Lepisosteus oculatus: one gene and its partners. The protein of the gene in region 3 interacts with the protein of the main gene of each other region in a pairwise test. Links are inferred from orthologs where the notes say so. Each region holds a gene or a part of one and is shown on either strand. Other genes may lie near its edges.

The links.
Region 1: the proteins of bmal1b (region 3) and epas1b interact in binary tests that used the Homo sapiens proteins (3 or more experiments, as listed by UniProt). The link is inferred for Lepisosteus oculatus from reciprocal best matches to the Homo sapiens genes BMAL1 and EPAS1.
Region 2: the proteins of bmal1b (region 3) and npas2 interact in binary tests that used the Homo sapiens proteins (3 or more experiments, as listed by UniProt). The link is inferred for Lepisosteus oculatus from reciprocal best matches to the Homo sapiens genes BMAL1 and NPAS2.

What each region holds. Positions count from the first base shown.
Region 1 is NC_090712.1:13,467,225-13,475,299, reverse strand, and holds the start of epas1b (endothelial PAS domain-containing protein 1), read left to right. Parts: upstream 1-5,023; 5' UTR 5,024-5,481; coding exon 5,482-5,507; intron 5,508-8,075.
Region 2 is NC_090703.1:45,028,644-45,036,272, reverse strand, and holds the start of npas2 (neuronal PAS domain-containing protein 2), read right to left. Parts: upstream 3,102-7,629; 5' UTR 2,568-3,101; exon of another isoform or gene 2,483-2,567; intron 1-2,482. UniProt on the Homo sapiens protein: Transcriptional activator which forms a core component of the circadian clock.
Region 3 is NC_090716.1:8,949,841-8,957,657, forward strand, and holds the start of bmal1b (basic helix-loop-helix ARNT like 1b), read left to right. Parts: upstream 1-4,779; 5' UTR 4,780-4,968; intron 4,969-7,817. Other genes in the region: TBC1 domain family member 10A, read right to left, coding at 1-159, 988-1,095, 1,601-1,688, 2,335-2,468. UniProt on the Homo sapiens protein: Transcriptional activator which forms a core component of the circadian clock.

The DNA of each region.
Region 1 (8,075 bases), on a different chromosome or scaffold from region 3:
TAAATATGTCATAAAGGTAACTGTTTAACCCATTTGGGATATCTTACAACAACTGTTGTCTAATGTTTCCTGTAAAAGGTTTTTATTTTACGATGATTCCCATTTTGTGAAACTCATATTAAGTTTTTTTAACGTTGCATTCCAGTTCAGTCATTCGGTCTGTTGACTGACGGGTTTCTTAACAGCTCGGTGCTTTCAGAGTGAAAACAAATGCCAAAATTGGCTATTTACTGTAACGTTGCACATTTAACGAGTGTCATCCAGATTCGCAACTTACTTGGCGTCACGCAGAGAGCATAAAATTCAAGGCTTCCAGGAAAATCTATTTGGCATACATTAATTGTTTAATCTGCTTTAGATAAAAGCAGTAAGCAGCCAAAGAGCAGCACTGTTGTCAATTAGCTGAGCACTACAAGCTACAGCTACTGTTGCAGATAAAATGAAAGCGCAACAGACTGGCCTGTGCAAAGTTTGCTTAACTAGCATACAGTATGTGATGGCTATACTGTGACCACGGCCTCCTATTCCTTTACTTATAAAATAACAGAGGTTATGCGTTAAAGATTGACCATCGTCTATGGGCAGGATTCTATGAATATTTCTTCTATTAAAAATGTCCTCAATACTGGATTATAAAATTGTCACCTTTGCCATGATGTACTTTTACAGTTTATTTTTCAAACCCCTGTTTTTACTATATGTCAAGGCAATCTGTGTTGTTCATGTGCACGTTTTCAACTTTCATTCAGCCTTATTACCGTTTTTTTGGCTTTTACTGCGAATCATTTAATCGTATGAATAGAAGGGTACAGCTCCTCTCGCCCTTTTTATCAGCTAAGAACTCCCCACACATTTATATAAAAAATGAATCTTCTATGGATGTTCCTACATTAGTCATGAACAGTTTTGCAACTCCCTGGCAGTGACATAAACATATTCCAAATATCGTACCCATTTGTGTTAGCTGCAATGTACAGTACATACAGTAATGTGTATGTAATGTTGACGTCTTTCAAAATGATGTTGTTAATCAGTTGATCAGAAATAACATAACTGATGGTTTAAATAAAACTCCCAAGTCTGTGGATAGAAATCGTAATTGAGTTTGTATAACTGTAATGCCTTCACTAGTCAATAAATGCAATTAAATTCAGTGACCTAACGCTGATTTGATCTTCAATGATAATGATACAGTATTATATGAAAAGCTTGTAAACTTACTGTATTGTAAAATGTTTGGCTACAGCTCATTTCCTAAAATACAAGGGAGTTTTATTTTACGCGTTCTTCCTGAGGAATTGTAACAGTATTTTCCATATGTGATTTAAGTTTTTAAAGCCTGCATAAGTAAAACATTGCAAACCTTCAGACAGAAGTAGACATATTGTTTCCCTGTTTTGTACAGTATACCGTATTCCTGGAAACCAAATCATTCGTAGTTTAAAAAATGTTAAAATACGCAATGTGCTTAAGTGAATCATTACATCTAACATCTGCTGTTGTCAAAAATGATTGTGAAAACCTTTACCCTTATTTTACTGTACAATAATCAACATTTTTCTAAACATAGGCATATTGAGTGTAACACATAATGTTTTTGTTAATAGTGGGTTTTAAACTAAAATGGCCAATGCTGAAATTATTTTATTGTTGTTATTTAATGACATTAAATATAGTATTATCTTACTGGGGTAAATATAATTTCAAATATACTGTAAGTAGTGAAAAGTAACTAGTGTTTGAACAAATTATATACATTAAGCAGAAATTATTTTTAGAATAATGAAATAGTAATTGAATGTAGTTTAATACAAAATCCCAGAAGGTAAATGTTGTTCGTAATTAGGTGAACTCAGATCCAAAAGCAAAACTATGGTTAAAAATATCTTAATGTTTGTAAAATAGTTGAAATACATTAGAATACTAAACATTGAATTTTAGCATAAAGTATCTTAATTATTACACTGAATTTATTAGAATCTAAACTTTGCCATTAAAGCAATAACTAGCTTGGTGTTGTTTTTAAAGAGTTTATGAGCAGTCAAAGTTAATTCTCAGAAGACCTAGGACAAATCTGTGGATAGTTGATAAATATGCGATAATGATAATGAATGATGATGAAAGCTAAATGATATGTCCCAAGATGTTAAGATTCAAACCTTTACCACTCACTTTCCGCCTGGAAACTGCTCTTTTTAAATTTGATTTAATTTGAGCAATTATTTGAAATGTTTGCATGTTTTTGTTCAGTAGGTAAATAATTTAAATCTATGAAAAATAGATAAACATTATGATTGCAGATGTATGACAAATTCTCAAAATAGTATTGTTAGGAGCCTTCATTGTTTCACACTGTACAATGATTTATATACTGTACCTGTATTGAAATAATCATGTTTTTATTTTTTGGGGGTAAAAAATGCTCTCAACCACAATAAAAAAAAAAATCTGTATATAATGTATACTGTATATACCTTCCAATAATGTTGGGTGCTCTACTACTCTTCCATAAAGGAGTAAAGCTCTAAAGCTGCAATACAGTACTTTTCCTTATTCCAGAAAATACTGCTGACAAATTCAAAGGAAGCACTGCAAACATCTTGTTGGCAACTTGGTTAAAAAAAAAAACTTTCAGCTCTTCAAGTGTATCTGAGGGTAAGTATTTAATAAAATATTTGCTTTTCATATGTCTCTAAATAACTGAAGATATTGTTCTATACTGCTCTGGTACTGTTGCAATACAAATTATAAGGGTGTGTCACGAATATACTGTACAAAGTGGTAGTATTGCCTTTAATACTACCAATGAAAAATACTGTCTTTGCAGACGATATACTTATCAATTAACCATTGTTAATGAAGGAATAAGGAAAATCTATTTTAGAAGATTTCTTATGTAAGCATTTGTATTAATACAGTGACTTGCATATGTATAAACAGCCCTAGTTAGGAAAGATTAAAACCATTGCATAAGAAAGCAACTGCAAATTGGATTTTTCTGTTTTATTTTTTTTAACATTTTAAAACATTTAAAATAAAATATTTAATCCTAATAGCATTGCACACAGCAAAGTCCTTAATTAATTATATTCCAGAAAACACAAATATTTTGACGTGGGGAAATCGCTTGATTTCCTCCACCATCGTGAATCCTGTGCTCAATATCCCAGAAATCTCTCCCACCTTGCGCAAGCGTGGTGCCTGGTGTCCTAAACCCACAAGTCGACCACTGCGGCTCACATTCTGGATGAGGTACTACTGTACTCTGACACTCACATCTCAAAATGACACGCTACATCTTAAGAGCTGAACAAAAGAAACTAGCACAGATCAGTGTATTCACGAAACTCAATAAAAGAGAGATCCAATGACTCTAAACTCACTAAAACGGATGTCCAATGCCTTTATGAACCTGTGACCATTCCAAAACCACTATTCTCCTCGTCTATGGTTCTTTCAATGTTATTGATAGCTACAGTACAGTATGTCATTCTTAACATCAGATGCAGAACCTTCCTGAGCAGGTTCATTGCACGGTACATTGCCTGTCTTAAAGCAGTCTACAAGCCTGCAGCTCTTCTAGATCTTTGCTTTAAGGCTACACAAAGCAGCTAGTGACAGTCATTGCCCTTTCTTCAGCAGGAGTTAGCGCCACAACCTCCCCAGCCTGCCACTGCTAAGAAAAACAAGCTCTCTGCCTTCTTGTCAGCCCACCTGTTTGTACTGTAGTTGCAGTGAAGAGTGCAGCTAACAGTCTTCTCCATGTCTGCCAGGACAGTGAGATCCTTCTCTGTTGGATCCCAGAAACTCAGACACCCTTCACTGCTGCCCTGTTAGACCTAATTACTAGTGATTCAAAACCTTCACGAAAGTCATCAATGCTATGGAACAACAGTTGGTTGACTTTTGTGATTCTTATAATTTTAATCAATGTAACTGTTTTAGGAACAATAGTCAAAATATTTACCATCCAACCAGATATTTTATTTTGGAATTGAAATACAATCTTATATACAGTATGACGCTTACAATTTATATTATACAGTATAGGACTCATTTCAATACAGTATAGGACTCAAGTCTTATTTATTCCTGTATCTGAGTTATGAAGTTTAAATAAACATGTATTAACATGCTACTCCTTTGTTATATTTCTAAACCATCAAGTGATCATTTGAAAATGTAGTACTGAACATCATTTAGAATTTTTTTGGACTATTCCTAATGTATTTGGGTATAACTGTATAGTTTAAATACTTTCAAATAACATTTTGTGAAAACAATGTGAATAATAAAACAATTGCTCTAGTTAAGCATTTAAATTACTTAAACTATTTTGAAGAGTATTTACAAATAAAATATCAGAGACCGTTTTGCTATGAAACTATCGGATCCCTGCACCTTTCAAGATCTGCATGTAGCATTCTGACACTACAGTGGATGTCACACTACGATGTGGGTTTTTCAGTGTTTTTTTTTTATTTTCCATTTCGTTCTGCCATCCAGATATGAATTGGTCCTTGCTACTTCTTCGCTTAATCACAATTTAGTCAAATGCTTTTATTGCCCTCTGATTCAATAAGGCGATTTTTACAAATAATTATAGTTCTTCTATCATTCTATTCTTCTTTAAATCGTATTTCTAGAATCTGGTTCAACGCGTTTAACAGTAAGTGAAACTCGTTTTACAGTAAGTGAAAAGAAACTGGCATCCATAACACAGCCCCTCTTGGCTAAACGGAGATAACCCAGGTTGCAGGCGATAACTCCCGCATGCGAGGAAAGCAGAGCACCCAGATTAGTGACCTGGTGCACCTGCGAACTCCGGCCGGCGGGCGAATTGAATGATGAGGCGCAACTCTTCGCTGCGGCGAGGCTGAAGTGAAAAGCGTACCGTACCTCACAGAGCCGACAGCAAATGAGCTCACCTATAGCGCTGTCCCGCCCCCACGGCCCGGGGAAGACGGGGGCAAAGGCGGTGTGTGTGTGTCTGCCGAGGGAGGGTCTCGGCTGGGTGCTCGCCAATCACGGCGCGCACATTAACTTGCTGTCAGCAGTCCAGCTGAGTGCAGGGAACAGTGGCCGGGGGACAAGGGCTGGAACTTTCCCAGTGCGAAAACTCAGCGAAACAACTTTGACAGAGGGCTGAAAACAGAAACCTTACAGCGCAGCACCAGCCTTTCCAGATTTCTGCTTGTTAGTAAGAGAGAGGCTGTACAATCCTCGGCAGTGTTCTGAGACTGTATAGCCCCCCTCCCGATGACAAAAGGTCTCTCTTCATTATAAATGGATATTGCTAGTGTTTATTAGTTACGTTCTCCTTTCATCATTACCGTTAGCTAGCAGCTATTTGTTTTTCGGTAGTTTTTTTTTTCCATTATTATTTTTTTTTCTATTGTGAAAACTTTTCAAAAGCACCGCTGGAATTTCTGGAGGACACGGGATTTGATAAAGGACGTGTTCAGTGCTATTTCGACCACCATGACCGCTGAAAAAGAAAAAAAGAGGTAGGGTGCATTTTTCATACAGTATTTAACCTGTTTTTTTTTTGTTTAATGTTTCGATTGAGTTACTGTCTTGGCAAGCACAATGTCTTTGCAATGAACATAACGTGAGGACCGATGTAACCAAGATCACTGACGCTGCTGTTAATAGGACTTGTTGCGCTGCAGGGAGAACATACTGTAGTGAAGTTTAAGAAACTGCTGTCAACCTTCTGACAAGGGCAGCAACACAAATGTAATGATATGAGCTTATACCTTATGATCCGGACCTCTTATGCGATGTAAAGTGAAAGGATTTGCGCTGAATATTTTTCTTTCAAATGTGTGTATGTGGCGTGCAGCTGCGATCTGCACGGTATTTATATGCCGTCTTAATTTATTATATGATGTACATACTGTACATTTTGTCACGGTACAGCCTGTTACAGATACTGCGATCTTGTCCAACACCAAATGTGTCCGACATACGGTACCAGTTCCAGAAGATATATGCTACCATTACAAAAATAAATATTGTAATATTGATTGAGAGTTTAATGGTTAAACTTGTTTTTTTGTTTTTTTTTTCTCTGCTGCTGTTTACGGGATTCTTTTTTTAAATCTAAACTTTGATCTCTGATTTGATTGGTATACCACGGAGGAGTGTGAGCAGAGGCGACCTGTGCGAGTCTCTGGTATCGTGCGGCTGTTGTGTGGCCCTAGTTAATACGCAGGTTAATTAACAACAGGTGAAACAAAGCGTAGAGGTAAAATACAGTGACAGGTCGATTGTGAGGTGACTAGGACACTGTTTTCGAGCTGTAGTAGTTGCAAAGCATTGACCAATTCTGTCATAAAATGTGATGGCAGAGTTATTTGTGTGTCTCAGCATTTTAATATACTGTAATCTGCGGTAAAGCAACATAAATCATTGCGCACATGGTTACCTTTTCATGTTTTTAACCCTTAGAATATGGTATTATTCATTTAATTGTCTCGGCTGCAAAAGTGAAGTGATTCTGAAAAATCTTTTTCGTTTTATACTGTATTCATCCTCATACCCAGTGGAATAAAATAAATATCCAATAATAAGTGTAATAAATAAGATAGGGATCTTTTAAAATATTAAGTATTTTAGCTGTTCTTATTTCAAGAATTTATCAGGTTTGCAATTTATGACCTTTCCCATTAGTTGCATACCGTATGGGAGACCGTAACACTGGGAAACTACAGTATGTGTAATTGATTTGTAAAGTCACAATACTGTGTAATTCTGTACTTTGCATTTGACAGGTTATTAGAACAAAATGTTAATTTCCATCGTTGTACATAACATTTACACATTAAATGTCCTCTGTTTCAGTTTGTAATTCTTCTGTAAGTAAAATTATATACATTTTAATTAGAACTTGTTAGGACTGGATATATAGCCTGCAACGTCAGGCTGTTACAAGCAAAACTGTACAATACAACTATTTAAAAAGTATGTGAAGATTTTGCAATGTGTATGATGGGGAAAATGTGTACTTAGTGGCTCTAGTAATAACACAATAAATTCGCTCGCAGTATGACTTCGGTTTGTATACCATACTAAAAGATGGCAGCATCTATACTGCACTCAGGAACATATTGAGTCATCCATTTGATTTATGTTTTGTGTTTTTTTTTCCGTTTGTTTCCATCAGTCTGAAATACAGTTTTGAAATGCTTCATGTTACCAAACTGAAACAGGCCCAGGAAGTGGAGTGTGAGGAATGATCGTTCACTATAGCCTTTCCTCCCTCACAGGCCAAGGCTGTGTGAGTTTATCCATACGCCATGTTAACACGTTTTGTTTCTTTTATCAAACTAGGTTCGGTCTTCAAACCCTTTGTTTGAGAAATGGACTTGCATCTTCCAGATCTTGAAGATTTAGTAATTGCTCTGATCTCTCAAGCACAATTAAGGCCTAGCACTGTGATCGCTATTCAGAAGTGAACAAATATACGTTGTGGATCCTCAAAAGACAGTCTGCAAGTTTATGTAATCCTTATATTTTGACAATAGTAAGGAATAGTTACAGGCACTGTGATTCAGATTTCATCATAGCTGGCAGATCATCCAGTTTTTCTGTGGTGAAATGACATTTTATTTCATATTTGTGAATCCTAATATCTGCAGGGTATAGACCATATTATGAAAATAGAATATCTTCTATCATTTGCTTAGGGGATACTAGAGTTCATTTCCTGTTTCTCTTCCTAGGCATGAGCTCTTAAGTACGCTGGTAACCTGGTTGTTCCTCTATAAAGCTTGCAATCCAGCTGTGTTTATATTTCTTCCTCAGTTTTCATTACATGACATATTCATGTTTTGCAGTTTCCAAATATAATTAGTAAAATAACAATTTAGCTCTCGTTGTTATTGTTAGACCCAGTACCTATATTTAAAAGCCTGGGCAGTTTTGAATAGCTACTATTTCACAGCTCAACAAAATGAGAAATGTATTTTATAAGCAATTCAGTAATAGTTCTGTACATCAAGCAGGTCAGTTTTTATAAACTTGTACCTTGCAATAAAATCAGATTGGCAATGGCTTATTAGCATGTATAA
Region 2 (7,629 bases), on a different chromosome or scaffold from region 3:
ATTCAAAGGCTGCTATCCTTCATTATTTGTTGTCAAGGAAACAACAACTACAGAAACGTATTAGAAGAAAAAAACAGAAATACACATACTTTTATCTAAATCAACAGGTTTAAGATTTGACAACTAAATGGTTGACATCTGCAAAAAACTTCATATTTCTTTACATTTTAAAACTTTACATTTGTATATAATTAGAGGCATTAAAATGCAACAAAACCCATTGGCTCCAATATGCATTTACTGTGTTTAAAATGCCTATCAATATATTTATATTTCATATAAGAGGAATGCTATTAAGGTAACAGTTTTTTAGATATATGTATTACACATTTACCACAGATTTATAAAATAAAATAAAAAATCTCACCAGAGAACAATCTGCCACCTAGTGGAAAGGTTATTATTGTCTTTGAAAATCTGGGATAAGTTTGTTAGATAACAAAAACCTTTGGGGCAAGCAAGCACATGATTAAAGACAAACCAGAATACGTACAACTATTCTGCCAAGTTCCACTTACAATTAGCAATTAGCAATGTATTAGCAGCTGGACAGCAGATTGTGAATACAACCTCTAGTGTATTTACAAATTCTGGCTTAGGCTGTCCCAAAGCTCAAATAATGGTTATTCCTGCTCCTCTTTTTCAATATAATATTCTAATGGTTGGAAATAAGGCGATACATTCGCTGTTTTTGTGTTATGCTCCATTACTGGATGCACATGGTAAATGATTTGATTTGACCAGGTTTTAAATGGTCAGGGATACGGTATGTACATTTGAAGTTTATGTTCACCTTACTATATTCTCCATATTACACTTGCATTTTGGTACATGTTTTTAAATATACTTATCTAGCGGCTGAACATCAAATAATTAATGATTACTGTAGCTCCTTGTGGGACAACGAATAGGGCATCAGGACTGCATTAGCTGTTTGGATCAATTTTGAAAAGTTCCAGTTAGCAGTGCTTATTGGAAGACATGTCAAATGCCTCAACGAACACAAGACGCATAATGAAAGATGGAATCATAGTTGTTCTTGCAAAGAGAAGGAATGCAAAATCTGAGATATTAGCACACGCAACAAAGTAACATGCATTAGAAGAAAATAACTTAAAACAACACAGAAAAATTTAAATATTGTATTTTGCCACTGCATTTTGTTAAACAGCATGTTAAGGTACAGACTAGATTTTGCACAATCTTGTTCATCCCTTCCTGTAAGACAATTAGTATTTAAATGCAAAAATCTAAGCGTTATTTTGTAAAGCCTGGACTGCTAGAAGAATATGCATCTCTGCTGTGGAGTTCTCTGGAACCACACGAGCTTCAATTTAGTGTAGTTCTCATTCCTATTCAAAAACAAAATGTCAGCAGAAATATTAAAAGTAATTAAAGATATCCCTCCCTCTGTGCACTTCAATCGAAACACCACAACTGCAAAAAAATATTGCACTGCACAGTAATGACCTGGCAACCCTTACAGTTTAGATTTTGAGAACAGCTCCATAAAAATAAAAACTTTCAACCTACAGTACATGCCATTTTCTTCTCTTTAATACCTCCAAAGCAGGTTGCTGTTAAGACATGATAAACCTTTTACGAAAACGATGAAATTTCAAATATCACATACAGAGTAATTGTCTGTATGTATTTATTAGTATTAATATCTAGATTTGTCGCAAAAACACAGCAAAACTAATCTTAAAGTGTACTGTTACACCTTATCGCTTTAAATTATAACAAAGGATATGAAACTCTTTACTTATAAGCTTCATTAATCCACTAAATATAAGACAACACTTTGAAACATAGTGGCAACACAGAAGTAAAATATTGATAATAAAGATATACTGTGCAGTACAATATTATGTCTCTCCGTAGAAACCGCCTAAACGCACGTTTTTTTAATTTTCATTTGCGTGGAAAGCGATTCTGATTTGATCATGTAACACATTAGTAAATGCATTCAGCAGTTTAGTAAGTAAACGTTCGTTGTTAATGAAAATCTGTGCTGGTCTTGTGCAGGAAATCTGATGTAAATACACATTAAAAATCGGAAAGAAACTAAAAATCTAAACATTTAGAAGAAGATTAAGAAAATCTATATATTAGTAACAAATACAGACTTCCAACAAGGAATCGTCAAGTTTTACTATCAAAATACCAGAACAGAACAAAATTGACATTACATCCAGAATGCAAACCAATTATTAAACAGTTATTGGTCACAGAAAAGCTGACAACTCTGAGAATTTATAAAAATAACTGTACGTATAGAAATAATGTTAATGACTTACGCATCAATGGCACTTCGCGTGTTGTGTACATAATTCAGTTTTGAGTGCTTTCACCTATCCCACTACGCGATCCCACATTTAAATCCAAAGGAAAAAAAAGTTGCGCGACCCCGGACACGCAAATGATATGAGATGATTATCAAATTAAAACACAGCCACGCAGGAGGGAAATTTACACTTACCTCAACTGAAGCAGCAAGAACAGGATCCCAATTTAAAGCAACAATCTCACAGAAACGCGAAAGGTTTTACCCCCTTATTACTCACAGAAGATTGTTATATAACTGGCACCGTTTCTGTAGGCAATGATTGAGTTCCAAATGCGTTTTCATTCAGTGATGATGTTCATTTCCCAACCCACACACAGAACATTTTACATCAGCAGCAGCAGTCGTCCGGTCTGAGAGAGAGGAGGGTGTGAGCAGCCACGAAGCCTCCTAAGCGGTCCGCATAAGACAGACCTAGTTCAATGAACCAATTTGGAAGAGTCTGAGCAGTCCGTGCAGGTCTTTTCAGTGTCACTGAAGAATTCACACTACTTAAGCCGACACCGAGCTGGGGAGCTGGATTTGCCCAACTCCTGAGAGTGACCATCCGTGCGCATACAAGTAACAAAAAAAAAAACACCCCTTGGCCACCGTGATTAATACTTAGAAATGAAAATGAGACCACACAGTTAGTGTCCAAGTCATTAGACAATGAAAGCAGCTGTCAGCTCCACAGTGTGACCGGAACCGATAACGATAATGCGGACACTGACATGTAACTGGTAAAGGATTACAGTAGGTTACACAACGCCCACTGTTTTGTAAGTCTTCTATATTGTTGACTAATGTTACCATGCACTTATAAATCGTTCAGTGAACTGTCATTGCGTCACAGCTTACCGTTTTAGTCCGAGTGACGTCACATCTCAAAGCATGTACTGTTACATAAATCCGACCCTTTGTTCCAGACGTTCTTAAGTCTGCGAGATTTAAAGGAATTCTGCGTTTTAAAGGAAAAATTGTTACTTGGAATTCTATTTACTATGTAATGCGGCATTACATTTACATGGCAGTGTGTGATTCCATGGTCTTTTTTTCAGTAACCTCATAACTAAATAAGCAGTCAATAATTTGGGGGCTGCAGAAGAAGCTTTACTTTGACTGTGCACTTGTCTTTAATTTATTTCTGATGGCACCTCCAGTCGTCTGATTTCAAATAATGTAATTAACGATGTACCTGAAGTGGACATGGAAACATAAACGTAAAAACACAGAATTGGATGTTTGGTCACCAAATATGACTGGTACAGCCTTTACACTCCATGGCATAGAGTCTCCAGTGTCTGGAATTCTGCAAGAGGGATGCCACCCATTCGTTCACAAGAAAGGCAATCAACTCAAGCCTTGTTGATGGCTGTGGAAAACGTTGTCTCAGGCACTGTTCTAGAATATCCTGTGAAATAGAGTTCAGATCTGTTGATTGAGAAGGCGATGAGAATGCCACGAGATTGACATCAGGATTACGTCAGTGTCATGCTCCTTGAACCACCAAGTGACCAACCACATTTGCTCTATGGATGTGGACACTCATCCAGGAAAGCTGTAACATGGAGTTAAGATGATCACTCAGTACCATTAAGTAGCAATTAGCACTGACCAAGTCTTCCAATGGTATAAGTGCACCCCAGCTTTACCAAGAAAATGTTCCCTACAACATGATGGAAACATCAGAGCCCTTCACAGCTGGTACCGAACACTCAGGCCTGGTCTTTAGGTTGGCACCACACAGACATATTCATTTGCTAGGAACATGGTGGATAATTCATCTGACCATATTATATTTCTCCATGGCTTGGTAGTCCATTGCTTGAGCTCTTTATTCTACTGGAATAATGTCCATTGCCAGCTGTGAAGAGTGGTTTGTGCACAGTAACGTGACTATGGTATCCTGCTCTGTAGTGTTTTCAGAAGGCCATTCTTGATATCATGATCATGGTGTATACATTTCTACCCACTGTTGCTCTTTGCTGATGATGTCTGTCCCTCGGAGTTCCATACTGACGTCACCTGAGACATCATCGCTCATGAGACGTCATTAAGTCGGGACGTCCTGGTCACTGAAGGTCCTGCCAAATGCCCACCAACAATCACCCATCTTTAAAAGTCACTAAAGTGTTCTCTTGCAGCCATATTAGACACAATCAAAAGCAATCAGGCCTGTCCAGCATTTTTAAACATGATCCTAACACTCTGGGATGTTTTTTGCTTAACTTACACTAGCCACAACTGTGTGGAAGCCCTTGGTTTTAATATCTGGTGTCTCTTTTATCCCAGGTATTTCCATTTCTTGTCCACTACCTCTAATTTCAAATAGTTTTTATAAACAATTATAGGCATAATACGGATGTACAGTATGATTATAACAGCTTAAACATCAGTGAAAAACATTCATTCAGTCTAAAAGAGGGTATTGTGTAAAAAAAAAAATAACATCCCTCAAGCTAATATGCTGGATGTTCTTTTCGTAACATAATCCTAGGCTTACGCAGTACATGCTATTTCTGTAGCAAATACATGGGCCGATTCATTCACCATGAATTGTTCCAAGTTTACGTCTTCAATCAATATATGTAAGGGTTTCAGGAAAAAAATGCAATGTGTCCTATTATTGAACTGTGGCTTTTAAGGGCATATTGTAAATGCTACAAAGGAGTAAGAATCCCGGCTTCACCTGGTGATATATATGCTTTGTATAGAGATCAATTTTAAGAAGTCCAATTTTAATTAAAATATCAGAATTAATTGGTATTAAAACCAGGTCAAGGGCAGGAACTCCCATCTGGTATCATGCAGTTGACTTCTGTTTTAATTTGATGGTAATTTCATCATCCATTAGGTTCTGGTCAGCATTATACAAGACAGGACTACTAATGGGGTGTAAAACCTTTTCATATCAGTACATACTTAAGTCATTTGTCCACCAGGAAGTGTACAATCTGACCATGCCCTAAAAATAGTAAATTTGAACATTAAGACATGAATCACATTAGAGAAGATCAGAGGTATATAGTGCTCTATTATTTAAGAACTGGATTGTTCACTCTGTTACCCACCTCACAAATTAATGAGAACAATCTTACTTTGCTGTGGAACCTATTGTATTATGGTGACTTTTTCTTTGCTGACTTAAATATTCTAAAATCCTAGAAACGTACTCCAAGCAGTACAACAGAATCCCATTCTTTACTCTCACCCTTGCATCATACAGCACTAAAATACATGTTTCAAGATGGAATAACAAAAAGTTCAATGAGTAAGAGGCATTATGTATTAGGCACACTAATCTCTGTACACATAGTTAACCTGGGTGTATTTCTGAGCTACTGAACTCAGGAGGTGTTGCATTGTTACACAGGTCATACCAGGTGACGGCTCAGCAGCGTTTGCAGTGACTGGGTGAGCTGAACCCAGCCCCGAAAAGGAAATCCTCTTTGCTCCCTCTAGCAGGGGTGTTTGGATTACTCCCAGTGGAAATATAGCCAAGGGTGCTCACTCAGCACACCTGAAAGTATGGCTCGCTCAGTTTTGAAAATCCTACGAATCACCAAGTGCTGTACCTCATCAATCATTTCTGTTGAAAAGGGAAGGGTTAGAACAAATCATCTACAGTATGAGACAGATCAACACTGCTTTCTTCTCTTCCCTCCAGACATTATATTTATATGTTAACCAAGTATCTGGGGGCATTCTTGCATCATAATACAGTTCTTTAACTCATAAAATGAAATTAAGAACACTTTGTTTTTTTAATAATTTCCTAGAAGCACCTTTGTTAAAAGGATTATGGATCTCGGAGTAATTTGCATCACATAGCTTCTGATTCCTTTACCCTTAAGCTCCAGAGGAGATCCTCTTATGCAGACTGTTTGTCTCACTCCTCACTAGATTTACAGTATGCTCATTTGGCTGTAGCTCCACTTCAGCTCTGTTACCAAACAAATGCAGCCTTTGATATAAAAAAAGATATAGCAACCCCAATGCCAAACACAGAACTGGTACCATGGTTAGCTGAAATCTGTTAATGTACAGTACACCTAATGTAAAAAATAACCCCAAAGTGATCCAGAGAGAAAACCATTAATTTTTACAATTGTGCACCGAACCACCTTCCTGTGTATACCTGACCTTGTATACAAAGGTTCCATGGTTGAATAACCACTGTTGAACAAGAAACAGCATTGTAAGCCTTCAAGGTCATTGTTGATGTACTTCAATTAATGCCATGACCAGGCAGATTAGTAAAAGGTTTGTCTCTAGAGTACCTGCTCCTCCCCATTCAGCCTCTAACACTGTATGTACTGTATGAATTCAAGTAGAATCATGCATGGGCGTGGCGATCTTCAACAACTGACGCAGCACCACATCACCAAATGTGCTGTCAAAGCATGCTATATTATGGGAGAAAACATTCATGCAATTGTTATCTGTGTTTAAGTAAACGTGACATGAATCCCTCAACACACTTGAAAAATGAAGAAAAACTACAGGGATGACAGCAGTTCAATCAGCTTCATGCTTTAAATGACTAACCTGTTTTTGAGAGCGATCACACCGGTATACACAGTAATGGGATCCCTCTGGAATTCAATTTAAATCTATTCTTAAAAATTAAAAATAAACCAAATGCATGGAAATCTAATGCCAAAGAGAATGAAGAGGGCTATGTTAAAAATGCCTCCCCAACACCACTGCCATCTGGCCTCCAACCAACAAGCAGCAGTAATTGCTAATCCTGTGACAGCTTTCTATCTGGGAACACTGAGTGCTCTCTTGTGGAAGGTCATTAGATTTTGCCAGTGTGGTTTACATAATATAATCACTTTATAAACATTTCAATACCCCTCTCCAAAATGAAGTATCAACTTTTGACTGTATAAAGCAGCAGAGAGGAAGCTATCAATGAAAAATGTGTAATTTAATGACATACTGGTGCCAACAGAATGGGACTTATTCAGAAAAAAAATAAACTACCGAAAACTGTCACACCAAACTCCTGCAGTACTGTAATAAAATCTTGGCTTTTCTATAGAGAAAAATCAATGTCATAATTACATCCTGAAGGCATTATAAAAATAACAACAAAAAAGGAAAACAATTTCAAAGCAATACAGACCTTTCAGTTTTTTTTACAAAAGAAAAAACCCGCTGCCAATACATTTTTATTGCCTGTAGTTGACCTACTTCTGTTCTGCTGGAACTGAGGTGTTTTATATGGCTAGAGGGGTTTGATAAACAAGGTGTACCATGCCCTGTGATCTTTATCACTTTTAACTTGAAAGCAC
Region 3 (7,817 bases):
GACAACATCACTGTTGGTGAACTCGCAACTGGGATTAGGACCATCTTCTGTGCATCTCATTTCATTCTCCGTTTCACTCAAAATGGTGATTGCAGAACGGATACTATACTCCGTCACACCAAGGTCAACGAGAGGCCTTCGAATTTCTTTGAGACAGTTCTAAAGAAAAATGCAGAAATTATTGTTAAAATTGTGTAGCAGATGTCTTTCATGAATTCTCTGGATTCTATGCAACTGATTATAAAAACTGACAAACAGAAACCCCTTTGTTACCTCTGACAATTTGGCATTATAGTGGTGTACAGTTCATTATGAGTTTAAGTTACCTGATAATGAAGTTCACTCATCATGTTTTAGCATTGAAAGAATGATAGGTTGTTAAAATGTCAAAGATATGGTTCCAGGTGTTACAGACACCACTTTTTGGTGCCAGTTAATATGAATCAGTGCAAAAAAAAAAACCTTTTACTCAAACTCAATGCATAAAAATAATTTATGATCTGAAAGAATACTGAATTGGATTATCCTAGTTTCAAGTGCACACTTATGTGAAAATGCAATGGGTATCTTTAAACCTAATGCCTTCAGATCTCAGACTTCAACTATGGTTTGACCTAGTAATTGTTTGGATAGATCACCTCAAGGAAGTAGGCAGGGATTACTGGGAAGCTAAGCAGAGTAATTTATAGTTGTAGCTAATGTGTCATCATATTACCTGGAGAGGCAGGCAGGCAAAAAAACTTGTAAAGAAAAATTAATCTCAATCTCTACTACAATTCAGAAAAATTAAAAAGAGAGAGAGAATGTCATCCACTCTTGCTAAACAAGATTCCAATTGCCCCTCAGCACTGGTAATCAAGCAAACTGTGGAGTACCTTTGTTAACAAATTCTGCATGTTCACTGAACTAAAGAAATAGGCCAAATAATAAAAAAAGTGTAATAAAAAAAATCCCAGGAAAATGTGAAAACTGCAAAAGGCACAGTACCTGATAATTGAAAGGACTGCCACCTTTCACTGACTCAACATCCAGAAGAGACTTCCATGCACGCCCGCGTAACTCAGGTGGAAGCCCTATTTTAATAAATTGCTCAATCTGAAATAAACACCCAAAGCACAATATCAGATTTTATGTACATATATGCAAAAAATACAAAAATAAAAACTCAATAAAAGAGCTTTAATAATAATAATAATAATAATAATAATAATAATAATAATAATATTTTTAAACTATTCTGCTATTTACCAAAAAAAACACATTACAACTTTGAGTATGCCACTGGGGATAATTAAAAATGGAATTTTAATTTCACATTGCAGCCTTCCATTTAACTTACAACATGTTTCAGTAAAAACGGAATTATCCTGGTTAACATACATTTCTGTACATGGCAAAAGAGATGGGAATTCTGGAGAAATATTAAATAAAGGCAGTGGTCCCAGAAGACATCTCAGAATACGGGATGAGCAAGCACCTGCGAGCCTCACTGCACATCTGACTTACAGTAGGTCTGTACTTTCAACAGCTCTATGTGCTGTCAGTCAAGACCAGATCCTTCTCTGTGATCATAGAGTTTAACTTTACAGCACCAAGCTACCTGGTTCTTGCAGATGAAACTCGAACCATTCCAGTAGCTGAGCAAATGACACAATTCCTTCACCTTCACAGCATTTGGTCTGGGGTAGCTATTAAAATGGAATGAACAAAGTTAAACACCAAGCGATGAAAAAGCAATGCATAAGCAATGAAAATGTAAAATGAGGAATTTGTAAGGAGGCAAAAACATTATATATGTTAAACCGACCAGGAAACTATTGACCTTGTGGTGATTTCTATGTATTACCTAACAGTATTTTAATACTCCACTCAAAAGAATGCAATTTTACATATATATATACACATTTACCTATTCTCAACCCAGTCAAACTCTCGGGAATATTACTTTTAACATGAACTGCGGCGTCTCTCTTCCAAGAAGGTAATTCAAAATATTTCGTATTATTAAGGGGGGGCTGACTTAGTATTTATAATTTTTTATACCAAGCCATTAACAGAAGATTAAGAAACACGTGGGGCTATTATAAATAGTAAGGGCATGCTGTCATTAAAACATTCAAAATGACGCATTATAACTATAGCAGTTTGCTGTAAAAAATGTCCCCGTGATGTCTCTCGTTTCTCTTTTAGCAATGGCAAATTGTTTTACTTTAGCGACACGTTTCCCATAAATATTTTGAAGATAATGGATACACTGTGTGTGGTATAAAAATCACCACCCTTAAACTAGACTTGTGCAGTTGCACTAGCAAGATAAAGTAGTCTGAGCATTACCTGTATTCGTGACATCTGCCTGGCGATATTTTCACATCTTTTCTACCTAACACAGCGAAACCAAATTCGTCAAACCCCAAAACCACATTACGCCTTCGTGGCGACTTTCCGTGACTGCTCTTTCTCCGCGACATGATAGCAAAAAAAAAAAAGTGGTTTCTCAAAATCAAAGAAGGCAGTAACAAAACAACAAGTAACAACTGTAAACTGTAACTCTGTTTCAAATCAGACGCCGCTTCCCAGTTTCCGATCCGCCCCTTAACTGACAAACACGTAGACCAATGGGAAGTCAGAGCTGAAACTCTGAAACCAATCAACTACAACTAAAAGCGTTGCTTCGCTAATGAGTTTGATTTCTATTTAAACCATAATGCGCAGCAGGTGCAAGCATTTAATCTACTTTAAATCTACTTTGAGTGGAAACTGAGACCTTGCTTGACCTTTGCAAGTTTCTTTCTAAGAAAGTTGGAGGTCTTAAATTACCGATGAAATGTTATAGCTAAAAGGCAACCTCAAACGTGTTTACGAGCAATTGTAGGAGTCCAAATAATCCTATTATTAGGTTCAGTTAGCGGTTCGATTATATAATTGACAGCATGAAACCAAAGCCAGCAGCAATAGGACCCCTCCCCCAGCCCAGAACAATTACTTTTCCATAAGGGGATCCTGGGATGAGAAATGAAGAAGAATCAATGGCTCACATCAAGGAGCCCAGCTATAAAAACCGATGGACCAACAAAACTATGATCGAAGACCAGGGCCAATACATTCCTAATCAGATCTCCGCTTGCAGCCCATATCAGTTTCTCATCAGCGGTGGCCAGGCTGAGTGGCACAAGGACACGCTTCTGAGAGAATGGCGCGGGCTTCTGTGGAAATCTGCTTGAAAGAGGCAAACCCACCATACAGGAAACTGCAGTGGATAAAGACACGGACGATTTCTGCTGTTCTTTCCACCCGAGTCATTAACTGCCTAATTCAACTCTTTATTGATTTAATTGGACACGTTGAAGACTTCCCTTGTTGTTCAGAAGCTGGAGATGTAAAGTACCTATAAACCTTGTTGGCCAGCTGCCTTTGAGGACCGCAGATGGACACCTCTGGTGTGAAGACTGATTAAGAAGATCTCTCTTACAGCTCCCAAAGGAAATGGCAGTATACTGTGTAGGAGACGCACATAAGACGAGGGGTTTTCATTTTATTACTATAATAAAGCATGAGGTCACAGGGCGCAGCTTTGGGCTAGTTTACCAGTGTAAGAAAATAGTTATATAGTAAAGACAGATGACATGTCGTTGAAGTAACGATATCATCCATCTTCAGCGTCACAGACGTTTATCATAGTCGTTTAAAAGGTGTGCTCTACATCACCGTAATTCTGACTCTAAACACAAAACAGATAAGGTTTTTTTTTTCAATATGTGTATTAAAAAGAACATCAACGGATTTGAAATAGGTGTGGTGGTTCAGTCTTCACTAAATAAAATTGATTTTTCCACAATTGGTATACAATTATTTCGGAAGATGATTTCAGACTGAACTGACAAATTAAGGCTGTAATTCGGGAGAGAGTGCGTATGTGTAGTTATGCCTTCTAAAATGCATTTATATTGGAGGTAAAATATGAGTAAAATTCAAAAGAGGCATAGTTTTGATGTAATTTTTTTGTAATGGATATTATTATATTTTACTTAATCGTGGCAACACTACTCTTGAGTCAGAGTGACCATGTATATAAAAAAACTCCAACAGGTGGCGCATTTTGCTTTTGGTTTCAGCGCCGTCCATGATCTGAATCCCATTCTTTAGTTTACGATGTCCATTTCCTGTTACAATCATATCTTGTGCTGGGTATCCTTTAACCTGGTGTGTGTGCTTGGCAACTATAATGTAAGAAACTATATTGTAAAAGACATCAATATACAATGTCTTGATGCAGAAGACATCAACGCATATAAAAAAAAAAGCCTTCTTTGAAGACAGATGCCTTGGGTGCTGTATTTTGCGAACACTGCGCGTAATTTGTAAGGCACGATGCGCCACACCGAGCTGTCAACTACGCTGCTCAGACTCTCTCTTCTTGAAATTCACACGGGTCAGTGAAATGGGTGGGTTTAAAGATCAAAGTCTACTTCTTGGCTCCAACGGTGTGAAGCTGTGACTACAGCCAAGGCAACCATCCGACTCAAGCCGTGCAACTTTATGGCCGCACAGGGCGCCTGAGTAATCGGGTGCCACGGTCGCGCACGGCTCCGAAGTCGTGGATACATTTCCTCCTTCAGCGCTCGGTGATTCACCATTTTTCCAAGTCGGCGGCAGGCTTCCTTCCTCCTTCGCTTTCCTAAGCCTCCTCCTATTGGCCGTGTCTCTCCGAGATTGCGCGCCCGTGGCGTGGAGCGCAACGCGAAATGCTCCTTTGTTTTATCCGGCCCTGCGAGATTGGCCAGGCGCTGCCCCAGCCCGGCGCGATTGGCTGCGAGGACTATGCAGGCCGCTCCAAAGACATAATTGGTTGAAAAGTAGGTTAGTGGTGCGACGACAGTTACAGAAGGGAGAAAGTAGGTCACAGACTGCTGCTGTTTATCACCGTCCATGTTACCCTGTATTTAAATGTGCTTATTTAACTTTCATCACGTAAGTACAATGCACAGTATTTTACGGCTTGGTTCTCTATATTGATAAGGAGAGATCGCAGACATAAAAGCAGGTAACACTGTAATGTAACGTGTTGTTCCGAATCAGGATATATTGCCGATTTCGGGAGGAGGGGCAATCCTTATGTATATATAACTTTAAAGGCGTAGGATGTGCTTTCATATCGCGAAGGATAAAGTCTGTTTTCGTTTACAGTGGCCTCAAGAAATCGGGGTTTTGCTTCACATTTCTCATGTGCCAAACTGAATATGGATAGTGTTTTGTAAAAAAAAAAATAACGTGTATACATCTATACGACTGCTTGTTATTTAAGATTTTCTTCAGAAAACGCGTGCGTTTCCTTTAAATACGGTACATCGCACGGGCGCGTTGATAGGGTTTTTATTGGGGTCAAATGTTGCACACATTCAGATACTCGGAGGTGGTGTGAAAAAATGCCTTATTTCACATCTAAGCATGTAATGTGTAGCTAGTTGGTTTCGTAGCTGTCAACAGGCAAACTGACAGCTGTCAGTGTTCACGGAGGCGATTCTGTAGGGGCTATTACCGTACTTGGGAATTTGTCATTTCCCCCAGGACATTGGCCTCCTTTCATCTTCTAACTACCTGTTACATTGTTGCGAGGTAGGATTGTTCTGTTCACTAGCTCTTTTAGGCCTACCAACACTCTTATTGCCTTACACGGAAATAATTAACGAGAGGTTGCATTTCCAGCAAGAAACCGTCAGCTGATTTCTGCAATTTAAAACAATATCAGATTGTTGGTTATTGTTAGTTTGGGTCTGGCTGCCTGTTTTGTGCTTGTAGATGAGAAAAAAAATGGAATCGTTTCACCCTCGTTGTAGGTGTCCTTGTATTTAATATTCCGGCGATTCCGGAAGATAAGGAGTTAAAGGGCTCTTTTAGTCAGCTAGCTTGGGACTCCTAAGAAATTAATTCCAAGGAAACAGTTTGTGATTCCTCCTGCGTTACGTTTTTATAATTGCCTATATTTGTTGAACTTATGCACAATTAAGCTGATCTTTGGCCACCAGAGTCAGGAATTTACTGACCGGGATTGTACAGATAGCCTGCTCATTATTGTCGTGTCTAATTTCTGCTCATTTATTTCTTCTCCGTGTCTGGCTAGTATTACGCATGAGAATATTTAACTGTTCAGCTTCTGATGTTTGGGAGCTTCTTTCTTCTGTAGTGCCATGTAATAGTATACTTATGTATCGCAGTTTGGCTGTTTATATATAATAATACTACTGTAAGTATAATAATACTACCTTTAATAGTCGTTGCAAAGTTCCAGTGGAGTCCTTATCCATATGGAAAGTACTGTACTGTTTGAAGCACCACTGTTGTTATAAAAGTGCTTGCACTGTACATGGAAACCATTTTAATCAATTTTAAAATTGCTATTTTATTTCAATCGCATATGACAATAGAAATCTGCGTGAAATTTCACGGGAAGAATTTATAGCAAAACATCGTATTACGAAGAGATAGGAAATATATTTCTGTGGATTTGTAGAGAGCAAGCTCAGAGACCGTTACCTGTGTTTCAGGGAAGAAAAAATAATATTTATTGACGTACACCCCTCATAAGGTAAATAATAACACAGCTATTCAGTCAGTGCCGGTGTTCCCAAGTCAGAAAGAACTAAAGAACATACAGTTCCATTCAAAGTGATTGCTCTTACAACAACACAACTATTGTAGAGCCTGTTCTTGTATGAAACCTGTTTACATAACCAGTGTGATTATATAGGTCTGAACTGTATTACTGTGCATTCCAGATACCTTTGGTCTGTTAAGGATTTAAGTTACTTTATGCAGTACTTTCTTCAATTAAAGATGGATCACAAATCAGTCAGTCAGTTTTGATTATGAAAAGTTTGAGTGATACACGCACAGTTGTAGCCACCTTTCAACTGAAATTAATTTCTCTCACTCCAGGTGAATTGGCTCGATGCTGTATTTCATAAATTTTTCGGACACGAAGCAGACCTCGGCTGGTTTCCATTTGTACAGTATCACCCGGAATTATCTTTTGCAGGGCACTTCCAAGTGTGGTAGTTGGACATTTAATAAGAAGACACCAAAATAGCAGGCTCAGTAGTTATACGCTGCAGTGCCTCTCTTGGGGGAAAGAGAAAGAAGGAAATGACTTTAAAATGATAAGGATGATAAAAATATTTTCTAAACAAAGTCCATTCAACTATATCAGCACCAACACACACTCCCGCTGGACCTGAGTTCACAGTCTGGGTCCTTTTGACCCCATTGTATACTGGTTTGTTTTTCCAGCAGATCGCTTTATTGTTTAATTCTTGGTGCCGAACTCGACTTTACTGGCTTCCCTGCAGTTAGCGCACACTGGCAGTTCTTCTCTTGCACCTCTTTTTGGAAACATAGTAATTCCTGGAATTAATCGAATTTCTCTTTGCACATCTACACTCATTCAACATTCAATTACTTGACACATACTGGAAAGTCACCATTAAAGCGCTCCATTTGTTCAGTTAAAGTAACTGAAATTCCAATATAAATGGTAAACAAGCAGACACGCAGGTTACCATCACTAGGATTGGGGCACCCTGTAATGTTCAGATGATATTTAGCCCTATGAAACGTCTAATGTTTTATAGGAAATGCTTTCCATCCTTGTCATTGCTTAAAATGCTAGGTGAGTGTCAAATATTCGACTGTGCTGAAATGTCAATTAAGCTAATCTGAAAAGACAACATAGATGTTCACATGTCCAAGGTAGGATAGGGGCTATTTAAAACAAAACATTGTGATGAGCATTGGTTGAGTCAATAACAATCCAATAGCATTTT